Linked DNA regions of Drosophila melanogaster. The protein of the gene in region 1 interacts with the protein of each later gene in a pairwise test. Each region holds a gene or a part of one and is shown in the gene's direction. Other genes may lie near its edges.

What was found. The genes of interacting proteins can lie anywhere in the genome.
Region 2: the proteins of CG3880 (region 1) and CG6425 interact in a two-hybrid assay, tested with the Drosophila melanogaster proteins (one large-scale study listed by BioGRID).
Region 3: the proteins of CG3880 (region 1) and Fis1 interact in a two-hybrid assay, tested with the Drosophila melanogaster proteins (one large-scale study listed by BioGRID).

The regions. Positions count from the first base shown.
Region 1 is NT_033778.4:24,756,431-24,765,067, forward strand, and holds CG3880 (uncharacterized protein), read left to right. Parts: upstream 1-4,233; 5' UTR 4,234-4,416; intron 4,417-4,851; 5' UTR 4,852-4,857; coding exon 4,858-5,715; intron 5,716-5,771; coding exon 5,772-6,116; 3' UTR 6,117-6,175; downstream 6,176-8,637. Other genes in the region: spz6 (spatzle 6), read left to right, coding at 1,065-1,085, 2,068-2,366, 2,427-2,753, 3,154-3,784; CG12848 (uncharacterized protein), read right to left, coding at 6,180-6,542; CG3894 (uncharacterized protein), read left to right, coding at 6,825-7,235.
Region 2 is NT_033777.3:26,712,476-26,719,054, reverse strand, and holds CG6425 (uncharacterized protein), read left to right. Parts: upstream 1-1,665; 5' UTR 1,666-1,790; coding exon 1,791-1,857; intron 1,858-1,916; coding exon 1,917-2,939; intron 2,940-3,004; coding exon 3,005-3,036; 3' UTR 3,037-3,890; downstream 3,891-6,579. Other genes in the region: Yif1 (Yip1-interacting factor 1), read right to left, coding at 1-133, 189-727, 1,029-1,077; amon (amontillado), read left to right, coding at 5,332-5,544.
Region 3 is NT_033778.4:5,600,898-5,606,585, reverse strand, and holds Fis1 (Fission, mitochondrial 1), read left to right. Parts: upstream 1-1,751; 5' UTR 1,752-1,831; coding exon 1,832-1,876; exon of another isoform or gene 1,877-1,935; coding exon 1,936-2,003; exon of another isoform or gene 2,004-2,069; coding exon 2,070-2,118; intron 2,119-2,174; coding exon 2,175-2,342; intron 2,343-2,573; coding exon 2,574-2,686; coding exon of another isoform or gene 2,687-2,690; exon of another isoform or gene 2,691-2,791; intron 2,792-2,824; coding exon 2,825-2,846; 3' UTR 2,847-2,999; downstream 3,000-5,688. UniProt on the Drosophila melanogaster protein: Involved in the fragmentation of the mitochondrial network and its perinuclear clustering. Functions downstream of Pink1 and upstream of Drp1 to regulate mitochondrial fission.

The DNA.
Region 1 (8,637 bases):
TTATAACCTAACGACTACCGATATTTATTTAGCCAAACAATGAAGTACAATTTTATTTGATTGAGTTTTTCGTTCAAACTATAAATCTTCTTGTATAATTCCCTAACGATTTTTATGATGAAGTGCTTGGCATGCCTAAGTTAAGCTTTTTTTACATGAAACCAAGTTTCGGACTAAAATCTATGAGCATAGTTATAAATGTAAGGACACGTATTCTCTTTAATTACGATTACTTTGAATTGTACATTAATCTATCTGATTGTAACTTTTCCACAACCAAAAAATTCTGGCACAACTGCATATGATTCTTTCGATTCGTTGTCGGGCTACGTTTTGTGAATCGTTTATAATGCGGATCTATATACAAACATATATATTTCTTTAAAAATAATGTATTCTATATGTAGACGAAAGCATTACACCAAAACATTATATTGATAAAAAATGTTTGAGGACTCTACCACATTGTTTTCTGGAGAGAAAGAACTTTATTACGGTGTAAAATGTTCATTGTATTCATAAATAAACGTGAAGTTGTTGAATATGAAGTATGATTTGGAAGTGAACTAATAAAAATTAAAAAAAAAACACTTGGCTGGGGTTAGGAAGGTCTCTTTATTGTTGCATAAGCATCAGTTCTCAAATATTGTTGAATCCTGACATGTTCCGAATTCTTGTAATCCTGGATCGCAATATTGGCCATTTTCTTATTCATAACTGACGTATTAGCCAGATTTTCGTCATTGATGGAACGGATAGAACTCGACAACATTTTTACATTGTATTGAGCCGGAAAGTATGCTTCTGTTTTGGTTTTCATACTTGGCTCTCTCAAAATATGCATAATTCAAAGTAAAGCTTTCTTTCTTTCCACTTTCTCATGCTCTGGCTAGTTTACCGGGCTTACAAGCAGCCAGAGGTTCAACGTCTGCAGCGACTTGGTCGACAACTCAGTTCAGTTGGTGCACTTGACGCGTCTGGTTCTGCTTCCCACCACTGCGGATTAAGCCAAGCCTGACGAAGGCCAAGTCCAAGAACCTTCTACAAGAAGCAAACGAGCGGAGATGGATTATCGTCTAGTGCTGGTATGTCATCATTACGGGTGTGCTAACTGCACACTTTTTCTATGGCTCGCTGGTCAAGTTCGTTGCCCAAGTCTTTTGTTTTGCAATGCGTTAACATTGGCGAGCTAACCGCTTACGTTTACTGTTACTCAGTCCCTGGGAACCGCCCGATTCTGGAGCATGCTAATGAATTAAGCTAACCAAAGAGCAGCGTACGTTCCGATCCGTTCTGCCCCTTCTTCTAGTTCGGTCTTCTAACTACTGGCTTTTGGCCGGGTGCCGAGCAACTTTCCCGTTAGGCGTGTGGCACGCATATTGGGAACAGAGCGCCAACAAGTTCTTTCCTGACCAGATCAAATCAGCCTGTCTTGGCCCCGAAAGGCGGTTAGGTCTTCATTCTGCAATTGAGCTACCAATATTTACCTATGCAAATTGTGCTCTTTCCATTTGGGAGCTCTCTCGCAGGGCAAACAAGTTTCTGCCTCATTAGAAGGGAAAAAACAAAAGAACGAGCTTAGCGGCTGACCCGATTTTGGATTCCCCGACGCCGCATTCAAATTACGCTGTGAACCGTGTCACAAAGAGAGAAATTCCACAGCTTCTTGGCACTGCAGCCGCCCACCGATCTGTACCACTTGACCTGGATTACTCGGGTCTGTCCGTGGAACTTTTGGTTTCATTGAGATGCCACTGCCCAGAACTTCAGGGAAAGTTCCCTCGAACAATTAATGGTCAAGTGAGCACAGCGGAGAGATGCTGAAGTGGCGTCTCGATCGCAGTTGCTGCCTCGGTTTGTTTATCTTCACAAAAACAGAAACAGAAACTTTCGCGCTTTCGCCAAACAACAAAACATCGAAAAGTGTATGTATGGCCGGGTAAAAGATCTCGATTCTTTTTCCGGACAATATTGGGCCATTCACCGACTCTTCTGGGCAATTAACTCGACTCCAGACGGCTACGGCCACTGATTGTACCTCCACTGTGACTATCTTTTGTTTTGTAGAAAATTCTCAGCTTTCTGCTGCTGGCCCAATTGGGTTTCTCCCAGCCGCAGCAGCAGTCGCCATCTGACTACGGTGAGGAGCAGCCTCCGGAGGGTTATTACGCCTTCGTCGAGTCCCCGAATGCGGTGCCTCCCAAGGTCAGGCCGCCACCTTACACCTTTGTAAATGCGGAGTGCAAGGACGTGGCCGCCGGCAAGAAGTCTGCCGTGTCCGTTCACAACATTTGCGGAGATCTAAACAAGGGTCAGATACCCAAGAATCCGCTGGGACAAAATGTACTCGGGGAGCCCTATCCCTTGTAGGTGAAAATATTTGCGTAACAAATTTCAGACATCTCTAATGTACACCTCCTCCACAGCGAACTTATTCGCAACCAAACGCTGAAGTTCCTTTCGAAAACTTTGCCCGTTCTAAAGGCCGACGATACCCTACCCAAGGTCACCCAGATCATTCGAGATGAACCCGTGGAACAGCTGGACAGCAACAACATCGACAGGCCCTATCCCGCAGGAGGTTCCACTCGCGTCCGCCGCAGCCTGCCGGAGGGCGTGGAGTCCAACGAGTACAGCTACTTCGATCCCGCCCTGGACGAGGAGGAGCAACACAAGCAAAGGGATCGGAATAACCAGCAGAGAAGGGCCGCCGAGGAGAGGAAGCCAAGGAAATTCTGCGATGGCGGTGGAGTGTAAGTTTTTAGCATGGAAACGGGGGAGTAGAGTTATTCCAATCTTAACTGCTACATAAATGAAAGATAAATATATCGTATTTCTTAAAGCACGGGAAAGGCGCGCATATAAAGCTAAAGAGGTCACCACTTAAAAATTATGAGTCATCTTTATAAAATTATAGATTCGAAGAATTATCAAGGCAAAGAACCCAAATGAGCTTGTCATTTCACTTTCCACATCATAATGTAAAGCCATACAACTAAAGAAGCTCAACACTTTAATCGACATCCATAGATATTGTAGAATAGGTTAAGAGAGGAGTACATCATGGGGTATTCAACTGCTTAGCATTTTGACGACACAACTGCGTGCAGGTCAATTAATAAAAGATTTTTAAACTTTTAACTCCACCCACAGATTTTGCACCTTATACAGGGCAATTCAGGGAGACACCGGAGGAGCAGCCCCTGCCACGCCCACTGCGGAAAGGCGCGAGGAGGTGGGTCCCATCCGGTACGAGGGTCCTCCCACTCCCTGTCCCGCCAAGGTAGAGTACGCTACTCCCGTCTTCGCTAAGAACTACCAAGGCGCCTGGCGTTATGTGGTCCAGATTCCCTATGAGGGCTACTTCACCCAGACGGTGGAGGTGACGCGTTGCATTCAGGCACGCTGTCACTACCTGGACGGCGGTTGCTTGTCGTCACCACGCTGGGTAAGCCTGTTGGTGGCGGAGATCTTCTACCCCAATGCGGAGGACACAGTGCCCACCAGCTCGACCACCACTCAGGCCCCTTCTGTGCAGGATTTCCAGGCCTACCAGCAGTACCTGCAGAAGAGGGCAGGCGTGGCTACCGCCTCCGACGGAACCTCGTCTGGAGCAGCCGGCCCCGCGGCGCAGGTGGACGCCCACTGCGATGGACACGATGAACTGGGCTGCTTCCAGGTGCGTCTCTACTACGACTGGTTCCTCATCCCCGGCTCTTGCAAGTGCTGGCGCCCGGACTACTTCGCCAAGTACGTGCGCCGGAAGTCGGTGGCCGAGTTGTGAACACTTCCTGGACAGGATTTTCGAAGGAAATCCTTAGAATAAGACTAAGTTCTAGCCTTTAGAGGAACACAACTTTGAGGTGAAAGGCTCATTCTAGTAATCCACCCGGGTGCCCCACAGCCCTATACGGATCACGCAGAGTTTGCAGTTCGTGCATCTACCAGATACAATCTTAACCTAGGCGGTTAGCTCCCTCTTTCGACTGATTAAGCCAAGAGCAGTGCATTTCTACTAATAAATACGTTTCTACCTAATCATAAGAGAGCCTCTCTATTCGGCACTTTGCTGAGACTGCGATGTGGTATTGGCCTAGCCTGTGTGTGTTAGCCTCCTGGAACTCTCTCAGCTGCGCTTGTGTTGGAAGATCCACCGAAAACCCACAGAAACCAGTCGCGCAAGTTGCGCATGCGTGCGAGACTCGGGCCCAAAACCTCGGCCGCTGATCTAGTGTGCAGTCAATATAACCAGTTGGTTGGCTTTGGGTGTTTTGGCCGGGGATCCAAGCGACCGAGCTGCATTACATACACAGAATAGTTGCAGAGTTTGCGCAGAAGCCTTGACGAACGGCCTCAAAAGGCTGCCAGACGAGCCGCGGACTCGGATTTCAGGAGCCAATTTTCCGCATAGCTTGGGTAAGTCAGCCAAATGGAGGGCCGTCTCTTTGTTTATAAACAAAATAAGCAACCAAAGTGGACTAAGGTACAGATGCAGCTGCGATAATAACATTGAGTAAACTTGGTACTTGAAGGCAAGAAACTAACAAAATCATTCATTTGCACGTCTCAGTTGAGCCCATTTAAATAAAATTGTAGAGTTTGAAATCAAGTAATTTTGTGTGGCGACTAGACGATTTTATAAAAATAAATTTGTTAAAACTGCTTGTAAATAAGTGGGAAATATCTTAGCTCAGAGATTCAGTCCTAAGGCAGCGTGCCAGATTCACACACATTCCATTTGGAGTTACCCATGCAAATGAGCTCCTATTAATATAAGTTATGCATTGGTGCCAAGCGTGGGACTATACGATTCATAATCTCATCCCACTTTCCATTTTGCGCCATCCGCAGACGAAGATGCTCCGCCAGAACAAGAATACCAGTACCAGTCTGCTGAACCTAAGCATAGGCGATGTGGGAGGCAGCCATCCACAGGGGCAGTCGCAATTTTGGGAACTGGATACGCTGCCTAAGCAGTTCGTCCTGTCCATGAAAAAGCTCTTCGACATCTTAGATGACAAGCAGACCGGATACGTGCGCTTCACGGACATCGAGAAGGGCTGGCAGGATGATGGCTCCAAGGGACTGCCACGCGGAGTTGTGGACTCACTCCGTCGGGTCACTCCCAGTAGCGGACTTCTCTCCTTCGAGCGGTTCTGCGCCGGCCTCAAGCTGTGCCTGCTCCGCAATCAGCAAAACGCTGTGGAAGACCTGAAGTTGCGGCCTCGTTCCCACGGAACTCTTGCTCCGGAGATGGAGTTCCATTCTCCTGCTCCGCCGCCAAAACCTCCACGACAGGTACCCAAGTCCCCTGCTCTGGGTAAAGACGACATTCGCCATGCCCTCCAAAACTGGCAACTGAACCTGATGGCGGACGCAGGAAAGTCAAAAACGACGCAGTCGCGGGAACAATTCGAACACCGTGGATCGGCTGACGGTGGCTCTTCCTCCACCTCTGCTTCGGCCACCGACTGGAGCCTGGCCCTTCCGGCTGTGCCCAAGAAGACCAGCAGCAAGCGCAGAGAGTCGCGGAGGCACACTCTGCAACACGGCATCGATTACAACATGCTAAAAAGACTGAAGCAATTGGAGGAGCAGCGGGAACTGCTTCTTTTCGGACTCGATGGCGTGGAGAAGGCACGCGATTGGTATATGATGCAGGTGCTCAATGTACAGGAGCAGATAAAGTATTTCGGCCGTTTAGGAACCCGATTTGTAAGTAGTCCTCTAGCTTGTAATTAATAGTTACCCCTTTCCTGATTTTCGCACAGGATCAGTGGTCTGAACTGCAGCAAGAAAGGCTAAACTTTCAACGCGCCCGCGTTTTTGAGGCCAATCGCAGCCTCCAGATTCTGGCCGACACCTGGGAGCACGGCGGCTACCCACTGCACATTAATTTGGCTGTGCCGACACCCACCGTCCCAAAACCGAGGCAGATGTCCGATCTGCTCAGTCGGGTTCGCGAGAAGCCGCCGCTTCTGTCAGACTTGTACGAGGCGCAGCACTCTCATTCCCATCCGCAGTTCCTGCGTGCCATGCCCAACTTCGTGCTCAGCCAGCCCTCGCCGGTCAGCCAATCCTCGGCCGGGCTGGGAGACGCCGACGTGGTCTACTGACGAATCAATGCTGCTGCGTACATTGTAAATAGTGTATTATTAAACAACTTGAACTATGTAAAGCTATACGGGATTGGGGTAGCGGCGCATGTACTTGTTAAGTTGCTTGTAGTTCAGGTTGCTGCCCGGTTGGACGATTCCCTGGTTCACGGTCTTCTTCGCCTCAAACTTACGGTCCATGTAGCACTTGTAGCAGTTCTGGAACTGGCTGATCTCCTTGTGGCAGTACTTCTCCACGAATTCGTTGTCTTTCAAGCAGGCGAACAGCACGCCCATCTCCTGGAGACAGGCCACATCGGATCCGGAGTCCGCCTTCCCGCTCACGGTGTTCTTCAGCCGCAGAGGCAGAATCTCCTGGAAGGGCACGTCCTTCTCGCTTTGAGGCGCTCGGCCGCGCGCGGCAAACAGGGCTCCGGGTACGCGCATCTGAAACCCCTTGGCTCTGTGAGTCCGGTCATTTCAGTCAAAAAATACGATTTTACCCACCTCGTAATTTCCACCGACTCCTGGACAACTGAACAGCTGCTTCAGATTACGTCACGAACTGGTTCCTGCTTTTGGTGGTGATTGCCAGTACGTCTGCAGCCCTGGTATTTCGTTTAACATAAGCATACGGTCACACTTAGAGTCTCCGTGGAACAAAAGGTAAATAATCAACCTGCGGGCACGCCAGGAGATTCTTCAAGGATCACCGAAGACCACGCGCACATGGAAGCCGCCGAGCAGCTCGACGAGGCGGCAGCACCAGCCGCCCTTTGCGCGCCTTCGCGTGCAGCCTACGCGGCCGCCGAGCAGGAAGATCCAGACCCAGACCAGGAGCAGGACCGAGGCCGGGAATCGCCCATTGGTTCGTTGGAGTGCGCCCCCACCCTGAGCAGTCGCAAGCGGCAGCTGAGTCGCTTTCATCCATACCACGGGTCCAATATCCAGTTGGGCGACGACGCCACAGTGGCCTACCGGAGAGCTAGTTTTGCCGACGCCCTGACATTCTCGGAGCGTCCGCTGGCCCCTGGGGACATCTTCTTGGTGGAGATCGAAAAGATAGAGCGCGGCTGGTCGGGCCATATGCGTCTTGGTCTCACCGAACTAGCGCCCAATGTGATTCGCACCAGCAGCGAGGGAAAAAAGGCGCCTCAGGAGAATCTGGTTTTTCTCGCGCAACCCAAGGGACAAGGCAGCACTCAACAGAGCCATCAAGGAACTCAAGGACAAGCTGTGTACCCTACGGCAAGACTCCTTCGACAGATTCCTTGAGGAGCTGGAACCTGGTGACCCGCAACATAATCTGTGGCAAGTCACGCGTCATATCAGGAGGCCTGCAAAGAAGGCGTCGCCGGTGCGAAAAGCGGACGGCTCTTGGTGCCGCTCTGAAGCCGAAAGAGCTGAAGCGTTTGCAGATCACCTCCAGAATGCATTCACACCATTTGACAGATGCACTGGCGAAGAGCGTGCTGCAACCACCAGGTTCCTAGAGAGTCCATGTCCTCCTAGCCTGCCCATAGAGCCCGTCACCCCAGAAGAGGTTGCGCAAGAGATCGCCTCCCTAAAGGCTAGCAAATCCCCAGGACTGGATCGCATCGACGCCACATCCCTTAAAATGCTGCCACCGCCCTGTTCCCAGTTGTTGGCCAACATATACAACAGATGCTTCTCACTAGGGTACTTCCCGAGATCATGGAAACGTGCAGAAGTCATTCTCACCCTCAAACCTGGAAAACCTGAAGCCAATCTTGCCTCATATAGACCGATTAGTCTGCTGACAATCCTCTCCAAAATACTCGAAAGAGTATTTCTGCGCAGAGTCATGCCAGTACTGGACGAGGCTGGACTGATCCCTGATCACCAGTTTGGCTTCAGGCGATCCCACGGAACACCAGAGCAATGTCACCGGCTCGTAGCACGCATCCTAGATGCATTCGAGAATAAACGATACTGTTCGGCCGTATTCCTGGATGTCAAGCAGGCGTTCGACAGAGTGTGGCATCCTGGACTCCTCTACAAACTCAAGTCCCACCTTCCCAGTTCCCACTATGCCCTACTCAAATCGTATACTGAAGGAAGAGAGTTCCAAGTGCGATGCGGTTCCTCAACAAGCACGACAAGGCCTATACGAGCCGGAGTACCTCAAGGCAGCGTCCTTGGTCCCATCCTCTACACCCTGTTTACAGCAGACCTCCCTATCATACCCTCCCGTTACCTCACAGCAGCCACCTATGCAGATGACACGGCGTTCCTTGCCACCGCAACAAACCCTCAATTAGCATCAGCCATCATCCAGAGGCAACTGGATGCACTGGATCCATGGCTGAAACGCTGGAACATCATGATCAACGCTGATAAATCCTCCCACACCACCTTCTCTCTGCGCAGAGGAGAATGCCCCCCGGTCTCACTCGACGGCGACACAATCCCTACCTCCAGCACCCCCAAATATTTAGGGCTGACCCTAGACAGAAGGCTGACTTGGGGCCCCCACATCAACAGTAAGCGTATCCAGGCCAACATACGCCTAAAGCAACTC
Region 2 (6,579 bases), on another chromosome or scaffold:
TCTGCATGCCCAGAAGCAAACCCGCTACGATCACGTATGTGATGTAGCCCATGGTGGGCAGATAGAGATCTGGCGCATTAACATCATATCGTGGTTGCACTGGGTGCTCTTGGTCGTAGCGCAGGGACCAATCCTGAAAGGAGTATGTAATTTATATGGTTTCTCCGTTTGTGCTTCACCACTCTCACCTTATGCATATAGGGGAAAAACAGAAGGCGCAACTTCCTGCCCACGTAGGCGTTGTCCACTGCGAAGTAGTACTTGAGCTTGGCTACGGGCACCCACTTCTCGAACTGATTCTCCATGATCTGCTTGCCCTGATCCGCTAGTTTCTGACCGTACTGCATAGCCATGTCTTGCACGATGGGCTGCTGGAACATGGCGAACTGTGGGTACTGTCCAGTGGGTGGAGCTACAGGCTGAGGTGCTCCTATTCCGTAGGTGGGTGGCCCAGCCGCCTGTTGGGGAGGTGGTGCTCCATATCCGTATCCGGGCTGCTGTTGTGGTGGCTGCTGAATGTGCTGCGAGGGCTGGCCGAGATTGGGGTCGAAGCCATAGCTGTTGACCGGGGCCGGAGCAGGTGCTCCGTACATATTGGGATCTAGTATTCCGGGGCCGGTGGGCGGGGCCATGAAGGTGGCGCCACCGCCCATCATCGGAGCCGAGGGTCCCATGGCGTTAACATCACTCACACGCTTCGGCGGCCTTGGGCGACCGGCAGCTGAGGCTATTTTGGGACAGAGCAACCATTAGTTAGTGCCGGAGGATCTAAACGATACAACTGGGAAGCGGGGAACACAGGCACTCAAGCTACACACGCATCACGGAACGGAAACGCACAGCAGGCATAGAAACTGGGGAGCAGGATGCAGTGGAAGCCAGGAGCGGCGCACAAAACGGGGTAACGTGTAACGTAAACAGTGACAGCACTCCGGATTCCGATTCCGGTCAGCGGCGGGTGGGGAAATTCCGGAGTGGCTGCACCGGACATCCTTCAGGTATACTTGCTTGCGTAGCCTGATCCTTACAGTTCTCCCACTTACGGTTCCGCATACCCGGATTTGGATTGTAGTTCATCTTTCTGGATCAGTAAATTGTATTCAAAATTTCGCTTTTTAACACATCACCATAAGCATTTTGTTGTGTGACCGGAGTTTAGTGTTGCCAAATACCAAAGCATGACCGCCTACCAGAATGTTTGCACTCCGATAGATAAAATACTAAAAGTTACAAAAAAAAATTATAGATATCTTTGTTTTTTTTTTTTTTTGTATTATATTTTGTATATTTGTACATTTCTCTATTTTTATAACGTTTACTCCGTAAGTTTACTTATATGTAAATTTATACACTATTTTATTTATACACTAAACTTTCTTTAAGACAATTTCCTATTGTTCATCTTATTGCGATATATGGATTTATGTGCCAATGGATGTCTCAGTACTCAAATAACTGATTTCTTGCATTGGTGGTAACAGAAATATCATCAAGTCAGCCATTATATAAAAGAACATATGTAGATGAAAATTTAAATTGATTGTATTTTAAAGATAAAATATTTTCATAGATTTTGGAGAGTGGATTTTTTTATTAAACTATGCGTTTAAGTGGAAAAGGGCTATAAACAAAACGAGTTGAATAGCAGAGTGACCATGTGAGTTTTGACAGTGCCATCTGGCAACACTGTCGGCTTACTTTAATTTTTAGCGCATTCCGCAGCGCAAAACAAAACAAATTTGATTAGTTAAATAATTGACTGCAGTTCACTTTATTGTTAAGTCAAAGTTATGGAGAACGCACTTAAACGGCGATCTTTAACGCTCAGCACGCGTCTGCTGCATAAGCGCCACAGTGGTAAGGATTTCCAAGCTCGAAAAATCAGGAATATCCATAAAACAATCCTTTGTTAATAGCTTCACCACAGAGCGTACGCACAGGGCACAATGTAAGTGTATCCGTGGACACTCCCGGCTCGCCCAACTCCTCAGCAGTAGTGGGAATCACGTCCGACCTGGAGAGCACTCCACCACACAAACACAAGCCCAGCTTGGACGACAGTGTGGACTTCTCGCCCCGTTTGGACATCAGCCTTTCGCCCAGCTGCCTCTTCTCCCAGACACTGGCCACCGAAAGTCCGGAGGTGGGCTGGCGCTGGAACCGAAGCAGCAATGCCACCACGGACAGTGGCTTCGACTCCGCGGAAATAGGCAGTTTGAGCCAGCGCGAACGACGCCGGCAGATAGCCTTTAAGGGCGTCGAGGATAGACGCAGCCAACTGGACAATGAGCAGTGGCGGGCACAGCAGATGCGGGCTAATGTTCTTCTTAAGGAGCGCTGTGCTAGGCTCAATAGCCAGTTGGAGCAAATAGCTGTGTCCGAACCAGTAATGCCACTAAAAACTCCTAAAGCTCCGTCACCTGTTGCTCCCCGCACAAGATTAACCTGCACGAAGGCTACGCCAGAGCCAGTGCTTTCCCCTGTAGCTGCCTCCGATCCAATGGCAGACTTCCTCAACGACTCGGAGACGGATCTCTTCCTGCTTGAGGCCTCCCAGCAACTGGAGTCGAAAATAGAACACCATGAACCTCCCAAATCAAGCACAAGCACCACACCCACTAGGCACCACACGGCAAAGCGACCCTCCTTCTACATGAAATTTCTGGAAGACGAAAGCGAGGGCGAGGACTGGCTAAACGCCCTAGAAGAGGCAGTGCAGCAGGCCACAATGCCGAAGAAGCCGCGCACCTCGCTGCAGCGCTACAAATCAATGCCAACCACAGGGGATTCGTGCAGCGGAGTGTCCACCCTGACCAATGTGACGGCCAATTCAAATGCCTGCACAAGTGCCTCCTCCGCATCTGGTTCAGAGCTAAGGGATACTCCGCGCATCAAACGGCACGCCAGTTCGCACGCTCTGTCCCCAGCCACATCGCATGGTAAGTGCCAGAGTGAAGTCAAACATTTCTAGACCAAAGCAAACTCATCATTTCGTTCCCTGCAGCGCGCGGCAAACTCTTTGGCAGCCGGAAATGAAACCCGATTAGGTAACCAGCCCCTGAATACAATCAGCTTCCCTTCAGCGAGTACCAATTGTGATGAGCAAAGTTAGAGTTTAAGATATTTCGTTTTGTTTCGCTTGACTTGCGTGCCCCCTTGCCTGAGCATTCTGTATACGAGTACGCTAATTGATTAATGCAGCTCCAAAGCGTCTTTGAAAATGTTAATTTAAGCCTAATTAAAAATTAATTGTAATTTAAAGCAGGACCCTTAATATTCGCATCGAAGGCCTGTGCGTTCGTTCGGCGCATGCGACTCGCCATATGTTCGGCATTATCGGGCCGCGAACGCGCCGCCCACCAGTACCACCAGTACAGGTGGCAGGACGCAGACGGACAGGTGGATACGACTGGTCGCCGACAGGCAGTGAATTGACGTCCCCCGGTTGAGCTTTCATTCACGGATAGGAAGCTCGTTGAGTGCGACAGCGTTTTAAATTAATTGAAATGTAGGCGAAGGATTTCTGTTTTAATATTCAGACTATGGTTATATATAGGTCAGTTGGATTTCTTCGCGTCTTTGAGTTGCTTGAGAAGCAGCTGATAAACCCAACAAAATTAGTATTTAATTACACGTTACCTAAGTACGCCAATTCCTCATCATCTTCGATTGTTTCAATGAATATTTCGTTTTCTTTTTTCCACTATTGATAAACCTGTTTAATATATTATTAAGCCTAATGTAAATGCTTACATTGTGCTGGTTTTTTATATATGTATGAAACATTCAAGACCCAAGCCTTAATAATTTAGTGTATACAAAAGTATTTCTTATTTTTCGTTTATATTACATAAGTTGTATTGAAAAACAAATAAAAACTGCAACTTATTTATCTCTTGAGTTATTTTTCCGGCAACCAATCAAGCAAACATTACCCAATGTTAATTTATGTGGAGTTCATAAAATTAAATTTAAAATGCAATGAGGAGTCTAAGAAGGGATTTCCCTGGAAAACAGAATTTATGGCAAATGAAATCAAAGTGTGTGAATCCCATCTCGCACTTAAAACTCGGGAGGAGGCAACAATCAAGTCGGCATGAAAAGCCGGCGAAAGTTGCCCCAGCTGTCTTCACTTTTCGCTTGGCCTGCAGTTTAAAGGCTTGGGTGCTCGAGGCTTTATGAACCTATTTGGGCTAAGGTCAAAGTTGAAGCCCTTTCGCAGCCATTACGCGTAAGAGGCAATTGCGCCCATGTTTATGAATAGTCCTCCTCCAGTCGTCAGTAGTCCCTTCGCCATTCGAACCGCAGGAGCAAGTGACTCCATTCAGCCGAATCGTGCCATTCAGCCGAAAGTCAGCGAAAGTCAAGTATGCTGCCATATGTTTACGGAGCGCAGCATAAACCAATGACAAAACACTAGCTACAACTTAGCACGGAATGGTGGGTGGCTAATGGCAGCGGGCGTCCAAACTGGTGACGTCTGCGGGCAGCCAAAGCCGCTGCAGAAGCCAAGCCAACCGAGATGGAAAGCCTGAGTCGGTGGGAAAAGCCATAGCAAAAGCTTATCCAACGCAGCTGAGCAGCAGTAGGCGAGCAGGGGCGTAGTCGGGTGGATTATGGGGGATTAAGCTTATCTGTGTGATATGTATATTACTTACTTTACCATGATAGCGTACTTCTAGTTTTGCTAGCGTACTTCTAGTTTTGTAAGCCTAACAGTAGTAGCCCCTTGGAACATTCCTGTGCACGCCACTGGCGAAGCTGGTAAGACAACGGTATCTCCGCTAGGGGTGCGTCGAGTGAGTGGCGGGTGGCTTATCGCCTGCTAGTCGGAGCTTTCGAGCGAGCTTCGGCGGCGAAGCTTTTGCCACCGCTTTGGCGCCTGGCGGACATTCATAATGGCGTCCGTCGGTACCGCTGGCGAACAGTACTCAGCGCGCAGCGCCCCAGTGAAGTTCGTGGCAGCGCACAAAGACTCCAGACGAAGTACATAGAAACAGAATTTCAGGCGGAAGGAAAGCACAACAAGCTCCATAGAAGGGGCCAAAAATACACAATAAAGAAAACAAATTGCAACCACAACAAGAGGATATTTTGCCAACCGAGCAACTTGATCCTGGCTACCCAATTCGCGTCGCCAATTCGCAGAGTGTGCAGTGGAGCGCGTCCTTTATTTTCGTCAGCACTTCGGTATCCTGCCAACGGAAAAAAATCACCCAAAGGACGCCCCACGCACCAACTGTTTGTACGGGCTGCCAGAGTTGCCCCATCGCCGCCAGGAGTCAGAGGCCAGGAGGAACCCGCAGGACCAAGGCGTCCAATCTGAATTCCATGGCAGCAGCCACATGGAGCTGGCTGTTGGCCCCATTCCTGCTCCTCCACTGGGCCAGTGCAGGAGCGGGCGGAGGAGCAGGCGGCTCGGGAGCGGGACTGAGCGGCCCCGCCGTCTTTACCAGCTCCTTCCTGGTGCGCTTCCGGCGCGGAGTGGACAACTCGTTTGCCCATGATGTGGCCGACAAGTACGGCTTCGACAACCTAGGCCCGGTAAGTGGAATGTGCGAAAAATCAATTATTATATTGCCGACGGCCGGCTTGGTGGCTCGCTTCTTTTGGGCCAAGTTGTTAGCGTTTCTGGCTGACATGCTGCACTTGTCGGGCGCGTGTCAGGCGTTAATTGCGATTGCTCGAGGGGTCTGGGTGTCCTAGTGCTCGAGTGTGTGTGTGGATACCAGGAGCGTGCTCGGAATGCCAAAGGCAGCTTTTGGCCAGCTGGCGAGCGGCAAAGTTTTTGGGGCTTGTGGCATTGGCCAACTTCCGTCGGCAGAGCGAAGTTTCCGCTGCATACCGCCAGGCGCAAATTTGCGCATTGCATGCTAAAGACCCATTGCATTCGAGCCAAGGTCAACGTGGCGAAAATAAACTTGCCCACACACGGGGGTAAATAACATCATAATAGGTCAGTAATTTGCACTCGAATCGCTTCTGTCTGCGGCACTTTGACCTGTCATTCCAACGATTTTCTGCCCAGATTATGTCGAGTTTCAAATGAAAAAGTGTAAATAGAATGGAATCAATTCGCTACGGATCAATGATGCATGTATAATCATTTCCAAAGTATTGCTTCTTGTATGTTTGCTTATCATACAAACTATTCGTTGCGAAATCATTCCTGTTGTAATTCCATGTGCAACGTCAGTATGGACTTTCACTTTCTGCAATCCTGACAGCCCTGCGATTCGCATCGAGAAACCCTCTTATGGGTTTGTCATCCGTCAACGTAATGCGTAACCATTGCCCAATTCTGTCAGCACTTGACAGCTATGACGCGCACTTGTTGCACACGCACTCGGATTAGGTCAATAACTCACTCGAGGATTTCAGGATTAATGCGAATTCAAGAGCTGGAACGGACGCAATTAATTAGGGGCATCAATAACAACTAGAGAGCGGTAGATGGGCATGGGGGAGGGACTACAAAAAGCTGGCGCTAAATCCAATTAACTCTCCTATTCCTTGGAAATCCGATATCCAGTCGTCACCTGAGGCCCCGGCTCGCTGTTCCTGGCGGATGGCGTGGTC
Region 3 (5,688 bases), about 19 Mb from region 1:
TAAAGAACAATCGCGAGCACGCGCCCAACGAAAATTACAGGATCATTTATGGCGAACGGGGCAACCGCCTGGTAGCAGTCTCTTGGTAGCACCCGCTGCAAAAACAACCCCGTGCTGACACAGCGTGTGTGTAAACACGTCGCAACAATTAGTTGCCCTTAACGAATCGACGGCGAACCGTCGTCTTCCGGTCAGGGTCCCGGAATGACATTAAGCTCCGATTAGTCACTTTCAAGTTGGTTAGGAGCCAAGCAGCTGCCTGCCATCCGCAACTCTCGCTCTTATTGTTGGTCCCCATATCTGTATTTGTCGCACAACTTTGTTGTGATTACGGCGATAAAGCGGCTCAAGTAAATCACAATAATACGACGGTCTAGTCTGGCCGACTCGGTTCGAAAGAAAGTGTGAATAGAGCCGGGCTCAACAATCAACAACAATAGATTCGCCGGACCGGACCATCAATGACAAATGTCTCTAGGATTATGAGTGGGCATGTGCATAAAAGTCAAAAGCAATAGAAATAAAAATTGTGTTCACGTCATGGGACATGTCAACAAAAACTGCCGAGAAGCAATTGCGCGACACTTTCTTGGGTGTAAATTAAGATACTTTATACTGGCCCTTGGTGAGGACCAAGCTGGTGGCCAGCTTGGGTTTTTGTGTATCACTCGATTGTATTTTGCTCTTTGCATGCGTCAGCTATATATTGAACCGCTAGCATATTCATTGATTTTCGAACAGTAATTCTGCAATATCATTGCCTGTTCAACTTCGTGGGACTAGCACAACCCATCTCTTGCCTCCCCGCACCGTCCCGCGAAGAAATGCCGTCACGTACGCGAGCCCCATCGTTCAACAAATAAAGAATGAACCGGATCCTCATCGTAATTATACTGATGCGTTAGCAAAATTGCTGTCAAATTATAGGAGGCCAGCTCTAAAATCGAGCGATCTTTTGAAGGTAGGTAGGAAATACGAAATTCAGTGGCCATTAAAGTTAATGATGGGTATTTATTTTCAAAAAAGCTTTTCATTCTAAACTCTTTTAGGGGTATATTAATAAGAGATTCCGACCAGCAGTGTCTTCATTGCATTTATCTTCATATTTTATAAAGCGCACATCGAGAACATGATAAATATTATTTCATAACAACTATTTTTATAAACAAACTTTTTTAAGAAACTCTGAATTGATGGAACCGAGATACATAAAAAACGGACTTACACCTTATCTATTCACAAAATACAGGAATTTGAATACTAAATTACACACATTACTCGAAGAGTAAAATGTTAAAGTAGATTCGTTGAAAAGTCTGGATCAGGTTCAATTGAAATGAATTAAAAAGAAATCAACAATTCGTTGTTATACCCGTTAAATGAATAAAACAGGTAACACAAAACTTTTCCTAACACTTTATTGAGGATCAATAACCGAGTCGGTATTGAGGAGCCAAAGAAGTTAACATTTTTTTGTAAATGCATTTTTCTCTGATCACAATTAATAATTATAACATCAAAAATTTTATAAAATCAAACTAAAGTAGTTAAAATCAAATACTTCCGTGAATTCGCTAAAATTTTTGAAACTCCAAAGCTGAATTTTATTTGGCTTAATTAAGAACACATGCTATTAACGGAGTACCCCTTATTAAATAGTCTCAGTGGCAATCGAATATAAGAAGGAACACTAAAAATGTGAAGGAAGTCGTTCTCTGAGAATTGTATATAAACGGTACGACTAATCCTATATTTTTAGAATGAACGGCTACTCTTGGCGTTAAATTCTCTGTATATAATTTTTGTATTTGCTAACAACATTTGCCAAACAATGGAGGATCTTTTAAACGAAGTTGTACCACAAGAAGATTTAGAAGTAAAAAATATTATTTTAGTTCTGATTGTTATAAAATAAATATTTTGCATTTGCTCCAGAGATTCGAAAAAAAGTATCATCACGAACTTGAGTTGGATGGTGAAGTTACCACAGACACAAAGTTTGAGTACGCATTCCTAAATCTAAAAACATTAAAATATCTCAATTCTTCTCAATTCTAATGACACAATAGGTACGCATTCTGTCTGGTCCGAAGTCGGTACACAAATGACGTTAGAAAGGTGACTCACTTTTAAAGCTGTAAAGATGTAAAAATATTATTTTATTTATAATCCAGGGAATTATGATTTTGGAGGAACTGGCTCGTACGCATCCAGATGGAAGGCGTGACTATATATATTATCTTGCGTTTGGTAATGCTCGTATCAAGGAGTATACGTCTGGCTTAAAATACTGCCGAGCTTTTCTTGACATCGAGTCAAATGATCAAGTTCGCTCCCTAGAGGTTAGTAAGGTCACTAAGGAAAGCAGCAATTTCTATATAATCTCCAATAGATTCAAATAATTTTTTGATCCAGAAAATTTTTATGACAACCAAAATCCCATGATCACAAAAGATGTGTCGTGTTAAATGTACATATATAATAATGAAAAACATATTCATGTGATCCTCACTAATGTACATACACTAAAATTCAATGTACGAATAATTACTAAATAACTTTACATATTTCAGGAATATATTAAAAAAGAAATCGATAAGGAAGTGGCAAAGGGTATGGTGGTTGCAGGCGGAGCAGCTTTAGTACTTGGCGGAATATTAGGACTTGGCATTGCTATGGCTAGAAAGTAATATTTTATACCAACACGTTTTTAACCGACAATGTTCTTTTAAAAACAAGCAGTTGAAAATTAAATATTTATGATTTAAATTAAATCTACATTGACTTAATTATTAATGCTATGTGTACATTGTTTATTTTTTAGTAAACAAAAACGGGAGAAATAGTAACGTCACCACTATTTAAGGAAAATAAAACATCGAAAGGTGCACATCAAGATGTTATGAAGTTTAATACTTGAAATATGTTAATTTACTACATCAACATTCTAATTAATCTTTATGTACGGTTAAATCAATAAATTATCCAATTGTTGCTTGTAGATCGTGTGTGTTAATTACATATGTTAAGGTATAGTGCTATGCCGACTCCGCTGAATTAAACTCCAACAATGCTTAAATCATCGGACTTCTGTTGTTTTTAGTCCATACAAAGAAGAACTTCGAAGGCGTAGTCTACCGAATCATCGCCCCGGCTGGGTGCAAAATAATATGATCTCCCTGGGTCCAGAAGACTGACCTCCAGTAATCCAAACTACTCTCTACTCCTTTCTAGTGAAATTGTATTTCGGATATTTTTTTTTAGACTCAGGATAGGTAGGATTAGCTAAGTGTTCCCATCTAAAATAACTATTTCTTCATGTCGCATATTTTTGTGAGTACGTACGGCTTTATCAAAATCGTAACACAAGGAACAGCAGATAGCCTTGAATAAAGGTTATGGGTGGAGCGCAGTTTTATACTGAATTTAATTCGGAGACTAGCTATATTTCAATAGTGGTAATACTTTGGACGTTGATAGGGGATATCAAGAAAGCACGCATTTCAATCCGGCTCTATCTCGTCAGCGAGTGTCGTGGTGTTCTTTTGAGGTTACAGCATTTGGGTGCTCATTCATATCTATGTGAATTTAAATGATAGCTATGGAAAATGATAGATAGGGAGTTTCTCTCAATGCACAACCCACAATGTCATTGGGGGGTGATAGTTGCTCACCCTGCCATGGTCCACGCGATTCCAAATTAATTATGCATTTGGCCGCTTTTATCCAATTGGGGTACGGAAGTTCTTGGATCAGCATGTAGTTTAAATTGGTGTTTCTACTTAAACATAATTTGATTTTATTACTGATCTATTGATTAATATTGATATTTTTTCATTCTATACCTAACCGTTCTAATTCCTGTAATAATTCTACACTTGTTCGTCTTCCGTTCGATATCATTTTCATTTATTATTTACTACATATGATACTCGAAAACATTAGGTAATTTAAAAGTAAGACTTTCTTGGCTCCATTGCATAAATATTTATAAAAACATTTAAATTTAGTTTATTTCACTTCAATAGACTTACGCAATGATTAGGTTTTAAATTTGAAAACAAACAAAAGCAAAATGAGCATACATATGTGGACATTTCGAGCATACGTTTGGTTATATATTGAACTGCCAGACAGTTAATAAATTGGTTGGTCATTAAAATCCACTAATGAAAGAGATTCACCTTATCTTATTCGGCTTACTTATTCGTTCGTGAGCAGTAAACTGTAAATCTTCTTTTTAACCAAGCTCTCTATCTCTAAACTATCCCAAACCTTTTGACTTCAATATTTGATTTGGTTGGTTTATATGAGCTCATTTTGCGTAAAGTTTGGGATGAGACATATTTTTAATACAAATCAACTAAAAGTGTAAATCAAAATCACTTTTCATCCAAGCCATATGGCCAGGAACTTAACCCGGATTTCTATCCGAGCCCCGCTCAGTATAGTTATTAGAGGCCCACAATTTTTTTTAGTGTTAGTTAAGTTTTAATTTTATTTCAAGTAATGGTTTTGTTAATCTCCCTATGTAGACGATATAATAAAAAAAGCCTTTTTAAATCTTCCAGAAATAGGATAGGCCAAGCGAAGATCCATAAATTTGGGTTTGCAAAGGAGAAAAGAAGGGTCCGCAATGACTTATGGAATTTTCCCGTTGGACGATGAGTACTGAATTACTTTAAAGATATGAAAAAATATTATAACATATTTGTGCGGTAGAGTGGCAACACAGGTCAACAAACTTGCTATGCGTCATATCTTGACGGACGGACGGACAGAGGGAGAGGGTCACATCGTCTCGGCTATTGATTATAATCAAGAACATATATATTTTATGTGATAGAAAACGCTTCCTTGTGCCTGTTACGTACTTTTAAACATATCTAGTATACTCTTTTACTCTACGAGTAACGGATATAACTAGAATCCAGTCAGAAATTGAAGTGTCTGTGCAGGAGCCACAGAAGTCGGTGCCAGTGTAAATATTGTTAATAATTTTTAGTCACCAAAATGAATACAGAAATTAACCTCTTAAAATTTAAATACTGAACTCGGCTGATGTTTCTCCGGAAATAGGGCACATAAGAGGCCACTAGAGCCTTGCTATTAAGGAAAGTGGTCATAGGTAGGGTAGGGCAATCCGCAAACACAATTACACCGGTGTTTCGCCAGTAACAGTTGTCTCAAGCTTTCTTTCGAATATAATAATTATCGATCTTATTCATTAATGTCCGTAGCGAAAAGGTATCTGTACAAGCAAGACCACCAAACTCCTCGCCAACGAGCTAGAACCGAATTCCTTCCATCAATTTATTTCGTTACACGTTACGACAGTTCGTCAGCCGACTATCTACTCGAAGAAGTCCAAATTAGTAAATGATTGGTGAAGGGTGGCTATGCCATTCTTGTAAGGACTTATTGTCATTTCAAAAATGGTCTGCTAAACCAGATGCAATCAACAGATGCGCGGAATATCTTACGGACATCACCCATTATAAATTCGTCGGTGTCGTTCCAGGCGACTATGAAGGTTTTATATTCCCAACAGTCAACAGTCACTCAAACATTCTTTCTTGTTTTAATAAACATAAATGATTTTATTTATTAATTCTAACATTAATCTTACTTTTCTATCAAGTCTTGATCGTCGACTGCTTCTGGGACTGTGAAAGCTGTGAAAGTTTA